Xenopus tropicalis: one gene and its partner. The protein of the gene in region 1 binds, or shares a complex with, the protein of each later gene. Links are inferred from orthologs where the notes say so. Each region holds a gene or a part of one and is shown in the gene's direction. Other genes may lie near its edges.

Region 1 (3,827 bases):
TCCTAAGCAGCTTTGCAACTTATCTTTTTTGCTGGATTTGTATTAATTGGGTTTTCATTTTTCGAAGTGAAATCGTTTCTGCTTGTTAGGGCCATTGACTAGAATACGGATTCCACGCCCACCCTTTGCTCATATTTCTTTTAAGAACCTAGATACTAAAATGTATTCTTATGTCTTCCACTTTAAAGGAACAGTAACACCAAGAAATGAAAATGTATCAAAGTAATGAAAAAAAAAAAGAATGTACTGTTGCCCTGCACTGGTAAAAGTTGTGTGTTTGCTTAAAAAACCCTACTGTAGTTTATATAAATACCCTGCTGTGTATCCATGGGGGCAGCCTTTCAAGCTGGAGAAAGGAGAAGGCACAGGTGATGTAGCAGATAAGCCCTGTAAAATACGTAAAAAAAAAGGTGTTTTATCTGGTTTCTACCATGTAACCTGCACCTTTTCTCCTTTTATTCCCAGCTTGAATGGCTGCCCCCATGGCTACATAGCAGAGTGTGTATATAAACTGTAGTAGCGTTTCTAAAGGAAACAGATCAGTGTTACCAGTGCAGCGCAACAGTGCGTTACGTTTTAATTACTTTAAAGTGCTTTCATATTGGTGTTAGTGTTTCTTTAATAATGCAAAGCCACATTAATTTCCTTATTTATTGTACTTTTGTAGGCAGTTTCAGAAGGTTTCTGTGCTGAGGCATTATATACAGAACTCACAAGAACTGTGTCAGTTTCACCATCGTGCTGCTCTGTAGGCGGCGGCCTAAATGCAATATTAATATTGCATGCTAACCTACATAAAATGCTAATTATTTCTTGGAAATAATGTATCTAGGCAAGTATTTTAAATCTTCTCATTCCTCATGCCAGAGAGTGCTGTGGGGCCTTGGAATTCTATGACAAAGCATTCGATCGCATTACCACCAGAAATGAGAGACCTTTGAAGAGTATTAAAAGAATATTTCACACAGTGACTACCACTGATGATCCTGTTATTCGGAAGGTGAGGTACCATTTTGCTTGGACTTTTTTTCTACAAATTAAACCTTGTGATGTATTGACACCTAATAACTTTTCTTGTATTCTTTCTCCATAGTTGGCTAAAACTCAGGGCAATGTCTTTGCTACTGATGCTATACTTGCCACGCTTATGTGTTGCACACGTTCAGTCAATTCTTGGGACATTGTGGTCCAAAGGGTGGGGTCGAAGATCTTCTTTGACAAGAGAGACAACTCAGACTTTGGTGAGTAGGCAAAAGGTGGCACCAGTCTAAGCTTTGTGAGCTCTGTAGCAACCAAAGCCTCAAACCCTAATATAGTAGCTTGGAGGTACGAAGGGGAGCTGAGAGTCCAGATGCATGCCTCTGAAGCTTCCCCTTGTTAGCTTTATATAATCACATCACTGAGCATACTGATCAGTACTGGAGAATGGCTAGCAAGCCCTCCAGAAGCCCAGAGCTCCTTGTGCACTGTCGCCATGGCCATTATGAGATAGGTAAAGCCCTAGAGGGCAGATTCAAACTTGTGTATCCTCACAGCCTTAGGGTTGCTGTGTCACAAATGCAGTAAGCTTTATAGATAGAATATCTTTTTTAACTTCACTATTATTGGGCTTAAGGTAGCCTGTAGATTAGTATTGTCTGAGAATGTTCTGTGTTCAAATATTTTACAGCAAATGGCTGAACCTGGTGGTCTAGATGTGTAACCTGACACCCTTAAATATAGTTTGCCGCCTGCTCCACCTAGGTCCATTAGTGTTCTATATAGTGATACATATTGAATGACTGTGTAAAATGCACAAACAACTGCAACCTTAACATAATGTTATATTGCAGTTGTTTCCATAGACAGATAACAAATTACATAGTTTATCTTAGTAAAGTCTAAATCTCTGATATGGACTTATGCAAATGGAAAATGGGGCTGATCAAGGTAACTTTTCTTGTGGAAAGATAACGTTAAAAAGGCAAAGTTAGGGATTAGCACAAGTTGCTTCACTTTGTACACAAAGGTAAGAGGCACTTGTAACTACAGTTGTTAATTAAGTGAAATTAAACTTATTGGCTGTGGCCTGATCCGTTGGATATTTTGTTGGAAGTGAGCCAGGATAAATAGTGGCATGAAAAATGCCCTGTGTGCACTATTTATAGCCCTAAAACTCCTTTTCCTACTCTACTTATGTAATACTGTCTTGATTAGATTGTATAGATATAAAAGCCATGATTTGATTGGCATGCAATGAAAAGTGCTTCTGTACATGATTTTGTGTGTTTAGTTCTCTTGTGTTTTTCTTGGCACGCTGCTTAATTTTTATGTCCTTCTCTAGATTTGCTCACCGTGAGCGAAACTGCCAATGAGCCCCCTCAGGATGACGTGAACTCCTTAAACTCCCCACGGAATCTGGCCATGGAGGCCACTTACATCAACCACAATTTCTCCCAGCAATGCCTTCGCATGGTGAGTGCTTTGACTATAGAAGCCTCATATAGAATATAGGCATATAGAAGCCTATAGACAGTGAAGCCTCAGTTACTAACATTGGCGATAAAATTTCTTAACAGCAAAGGCCCATGGCAAGCAGTCTGCAATTTACTTTTAATAGTTAGCAGAAAATGAAAGCATACATCTGATTGGCTGTATGAGCAAATGCACTGGTGTCACTGAGCACCTATGTTTTATATGCTACCCATAATGTTCTCTTGTTCATAGTATGATTAAATCTACTTGTAGTTAGTTGGCTGGAAATAGTTGGTATCACTCAATAGGCAGGCTGTACTAGGGTGTATTATTATGTTGGGAATTTGGGTGCCAAGTGTGTCTCATATGTATGTGAGAATTTATAATGGTGCTTTTTTGGACCCAGTTACTCTCACTATAGCTTTGGGGGACATAGGGACTGTAGGTATAGCTTCCACCTGTATGAGGCAGGACATTAAAGGAACAGTAACATCAAAATATGAAAGCGTATTAAAGTAATTACAATATAATGCACTGTTACCCTGCACTGTATAACTGGTGTGTTTGCCTCAGAAAGACTATTATAGTTTATATAAGCAAAGCTGCTGTGTAGCCATGGGGGCAGCCATTCGAATGAGAAAAGGCACAGGTTACTTAGCAGATAACAGATAAAATGCCATTGTATTCTACAGAGTTTATCTGTTATCTGCTATGTAGCCTGTGCCTTTTCTCCTTTTTTCCAGCTTGAATGGCTGCCCCCATGGCTACACAGCAGCTTATTTATATAAACTATAGGAGCGTTTCTGTAGCAAATACACCAGTTTTACCAGTGCAGGGCCACAGTACATTATATTTTAATTACTTTAAAACACTTTCATATTTTGGTGTTACTGTTAAGGAACAAAAATGGCTCCTCCTTCTCAAGCCATATCCTACAGTACAGCTCAGTTTTTTCTAAGTGCCAAGGTTAGGACCAGGTCTGGAGTACTTCATGGGCCTTCAGGAACCAAATATCAGCTCTGGCATTCGTTTGGCCCTCTTTTCTACACTTTTTTTTTTTTTTTTTGCAGCATCTCACAAATGCTTTGGATGCAAAGTTCTGCAGGTGTTGGTCATTTTTGGCTCCGCCTGCTGCCCTCTGTTTGATTTTCTTTCTAGGTGACAACTTTGGTCCTGTGTCCCTCGGGTTAATTTAATAATGATATATATTTCTCAAAATCACAATCTTTTTTTCAAGGCTGGTGAGATGACAAATGGATTACAAGATGCAAGACTTTTCACCTTTATAACTAGGAATTTCCTTTTCTCTTTCAGGGCAAAGAGAAGCACACATTTCCCAACCCAAATCCCTTCATAGAGGATGATGTGGACAA
Region 2 (3,827 bases), on another chromosome or scaffold:
GATTCTTTAATAGGTCACTTAACATAATATAAACAATCTTGCCACACTGGAATACATATATCAGTAAATATTGCCCTTTTACATCCTTTTCCTTGAGCTGCCATTTTGTGATGGGCTGTGTGCTCCCTCAGTGATCAGCTGACAGGAAGTGATGCAGCTCTAACTGTAACAGGAAGTAGTGTGGAAGCAAAAGGCAGGACTCTGCCCATTCATTGGCTGATGGGGCCTAAAATGGCAGTTTTCTATATAGGATTACCCAATAGCACATACTGCTAAAAACTACATTTTTTATGAAAATGGTTTATTTAGATGTTTATGTAATATATTTGTATAAAGACCTATACTGTTTGGGGATATAGTTTTCCTTTAAAAGAAAACTATACCCTTCTAGCAACATGGAGCTTTTTTAAATGTTTGATGTTTTCAATTTTAGATACCTGAATGCCATTCAGACTATGTGTCCGCACATTCTCCGATATCTGACGACTGCCGTGATCACCAACAAAGATGTGAGGAAACGAAGACAAGTCTTAAAAGATTTGGTTAAGGTCATCCAACAGGTAGGCATAGAATAACATTTTCCCACCTTGTACAAATGGTCTATAACGGAATAATTATATTTCTACATGTAGTTGATTGGTAACACTTCAGTGTGTTTGTTTCACACTAAGTACACGTATTTTTAGGTCTTAGTAATGTTATTTCTGCTTATGAAAAAAACTTTTAGGAAGCTGACGAAACAGTATCTGCTGAAGGTTTTGCTAGTGCCCCAGCTATAATTTGCTTATTGACTAGTGGCAAATTGCATATAGCTGTAACTTGCCTATAAAACATTGTTTCATTAAGCAACACTGCAGCCAGCATCCCTGCACTTGTGGGATATAGGCAGGTATATGAGACACAACAAAAACCTTTGCAGTTGTTGCTTGAAACGTGGGTAGTGTAAATCACCAATTTGTGTTTAGATCTAATGTAATATATATATAATATAATATAATACATGGCTGTGTCTCCTTTCCCAGGCTGTGCAGGGGAGCCACTGGCACTCAGCACACTGCACTGTAGAAAAGGGACCAATCAACTGCTAGACTGACCTGAAGCCTGTCTTTGCTTGTGTGACTGATGGGCTGTGATTGGCTATCCCTCTCCTACTGTGCTTCTGGCAGGGGCAATTAGGACACGCCCACTCCACATTTGAAACAGACAGGGGCCAGTGAGGCAGGGGTAGGGAACCTATGGCTCGGGAGCCAGATGTGACTCTTTTGATGGCTGCATCTGGCTCACTGCCAAATCTTTAATAAAAAATATAAGGAGGGCGTGGCCTGCACTCGGTGGATAGAAGACGTGTTCTAAGCCTTAGAACACGTCTTCTATCCGCCGAGCGCAGGCCACGCCCTCCTCTGCATCTCATCTGCATCCGGCATCCTTGGGACCCACCCTACCTTGCCCCGCAGAATCCGCGGCCAAACATATTGTATGGCTCTCACGGAATTACATTTTAAAATATGTGGTGTTTATGGCTCTCTCAGCCAGAAAGGTTCCCGACCCCTGGTCTATAGGGAGCTCCAATAAAGTGGTATTTTTTTAATAGGAATTATTTTATATAACCATTATTGCCTACAACGTTGGAGGGACGTTTAGTTATCCTGTATGTCTCCTTTAAAATGCCTGAATTGCATGCCTTCGTGTTCTAGAGAAAAGTTTAGATGCTGTAAATCCATTTAAAATTTTACACAACGGAATGGTGGGTGTAAATGTTGTTCATAATGCCTTCACTTTTTTTTAATACAGGAATCCTACACTTACAAAGACCCGATTACTGAGTTTGTGGAATGCTTATATGTCAACTTTGACTTTGATGGAGCACAGAAAAAGTTAAGAGAATGCGAATCGGTGAGTAAATTGCCTATTGCAGTGTATAAATTGCTGTGTTGAATATGTGTATATAGTGCTTATGCAGGATGTCCCCCCAAGGCTGAGCCCAATACCGTATTATAGTGGCGTGGTTTATTGTATTCTCTTATCCTGTATTCAGACTGCCAGTCAAGAAAAGGCAGTGGTACTTTTGTGTGATGCTAGTGGTGATTGAATCAGTAGGGCAGTACAACACCCCCTCTTTGTAATTATTTGTTACTGAAATGATCTGACTTCATGTTCTATGGCTAGCTTTAGATCCTAGTATGACAAAGTAGGGATAGGGAGATATCCACAATGGTAGGAGTTATTACAGAAACCTGACAGAAGAGTACTGTAGAGCCTGAGACCTTAGTTCACTCTCAAGATAATTAGAACCGTAAACCTCAATATGTTATTCAAGATTTGGGGCTTTTTTATTCAATTACTCAGAGGAGAGCTTTATCTGAAAGTTTCATGACCCAGTTAACAGTGAACCACACCATTTGAAGTGATGATAGGATGGATCTGATATTAATTAGAACAACTGATAATGATGGTGACAGAGCTTGAAAGGAAATACGTTTGTGGTGTGTTTGTGCCTCATGTTGTGCAGGTACATAAGGAATGCAGCTGCATATGCTTTGGTGCAATTAAGCTGGACTTATTAAACATTGTAATGGCTTTAATGATGTTGTGTACTGAGTCATAAAAATGGACGTAGTGATTTGTGCCCTTAGTCATGTAATGGGGGTTATGACTGTTTTAGACCTGTGCAGATATGGGATGTATTCGACAGAATGCTTGGAACCTTGGATCTTCCGGAGCAGTTTGGAGCTCTGTGCCTGGAGGCTACCTAAAACCCAATAGGACTGTTTTGCCGTAAACACAATGCAGCTTTGTTAAAATCATTTATAAGGTTATATAAAGTACAGTCTTATTACAGAAATGGTCAAGAATGAAGATTTATTAAATAGGAGACACTGGGTATTGGCATTATCATTTGTTGTAGTTTTCTGTATAGCATGGCCTGTTCTTAACAACTTTTTATTTGGTCTTCACTTTTTATACTTTTTCAATTATTTGCCTTCCTCTACTGACTCTTTCCAGCTTTCAAATGGGAGGTCACTGACCCCAGAAACCAAAAACAAACCTGTTGCTCCGTGAGGCTACTACTTTGTTATTTTTAATTTGTATTACTTATCTTTCTATTTAGGCCCCTCTCTATCGATATTCCAGTCTCTTTCAAACCACTGCTTAGTCAGGCAGTTAAATTGAACCCTAGCAATCAGACAGCTGCTGACATTCCAAACTAGAGAGCTGCTAATTAATTCAAAAACCACAAATAATAAAAATGAAGAACAATTGAAAATTGAATGATCCAGGGTGGCGCTTGTCAACCATGCTGCATCACCCTTGTCAGAAGGGTTTCCTTCTCCTTCAAACCTTACACTTGCTCACTATTACACTCATAATAAACATTGTATTTTTCTCCCTCTTATTAGGTGCTGGTAAATGACTTCTTCCTTGTGGCCTGCCTAGAAGACTTCATTGAAAATGCCAGACTCTTTATATTTGAGACTTTCTGTCGCATCCATCAGTGTATAAGCATCAGGTAAATGTTTCTCTATATTGATATACCCACTCTAAGGTAGCATGGCTTTACATCATCCTAGGAGTCTGTGGGAGGACTTTGTACTAATGGATTGTATAAATAGAAGCAAACCATACCATACTAAATGTGTTCATCTAAAAACAATATGCACTATATCCTTTACAGTGTATAAAACCCGGGAGAAGGATTTGTGTTGTCTATAACTCCTGCTTGATTAAAAACTGGTTTTTATTTGGGGCGTTTGTATTTATGGAGTATAAGAAGAGATCCAGCTTCAGGTTTTGCCCTTTGCCGATGGCTGTTCTACTGTACACTAAAA

Evidence for each region.
Region 2: eif3d (region 1) and eif3e share a complex: the UniProt entries of both Homo sapiens proteins name them as parts of the eukaryotic translation initiation factor 3 (eIF-3) complex. The link is inferred for Xenopus tropicalis from reciprocal best matches to the Homo sapiens genes EIF3D and EIF3E.

Annotation. Positions count from the first base shown.
Region 1 is NC_030680.2:123,536,332-123,540,158, forward strand, and holds part of eif3d (eukaryotic translation initiation factor 3 subunit D), read left to right. Parts: intron 1-867; coding exon 868-1,000; intron 1,001-1,093; coding exon 1,094-1,241; intron 1,242-2,323; coding exon 2,324-2,454; intron 2,455-3,768; coding exon 3,769-3,827. UniProt on the Homo sapiens protein: mRNA cap-binding component of the eukaryotic translation initiation factor 3 (eIF-3) complex, a complex required for several steps in the initiation of protein synthesis of a specialized repertoire of mRNAs.
Region 2 is NC_030682.2:133,675,079-133,678,905, reverse strand, and holds part of eif3e (eukaryotic translation initiation factor 3 subunit E), read left to right. Parts: intron 1-433; coding exon 434-560; intron 561-1,791; coding exon 1,792-1,893; intron 1,894-3,398; coding exon 3,399-3,508; intron 3,509-3,827. UniProt on the Homo sapiens protein: Component of the eukaryotic translation initiation factor 3 (eIF-3) complex, which is required for several steps in the initiation of protein synthesis.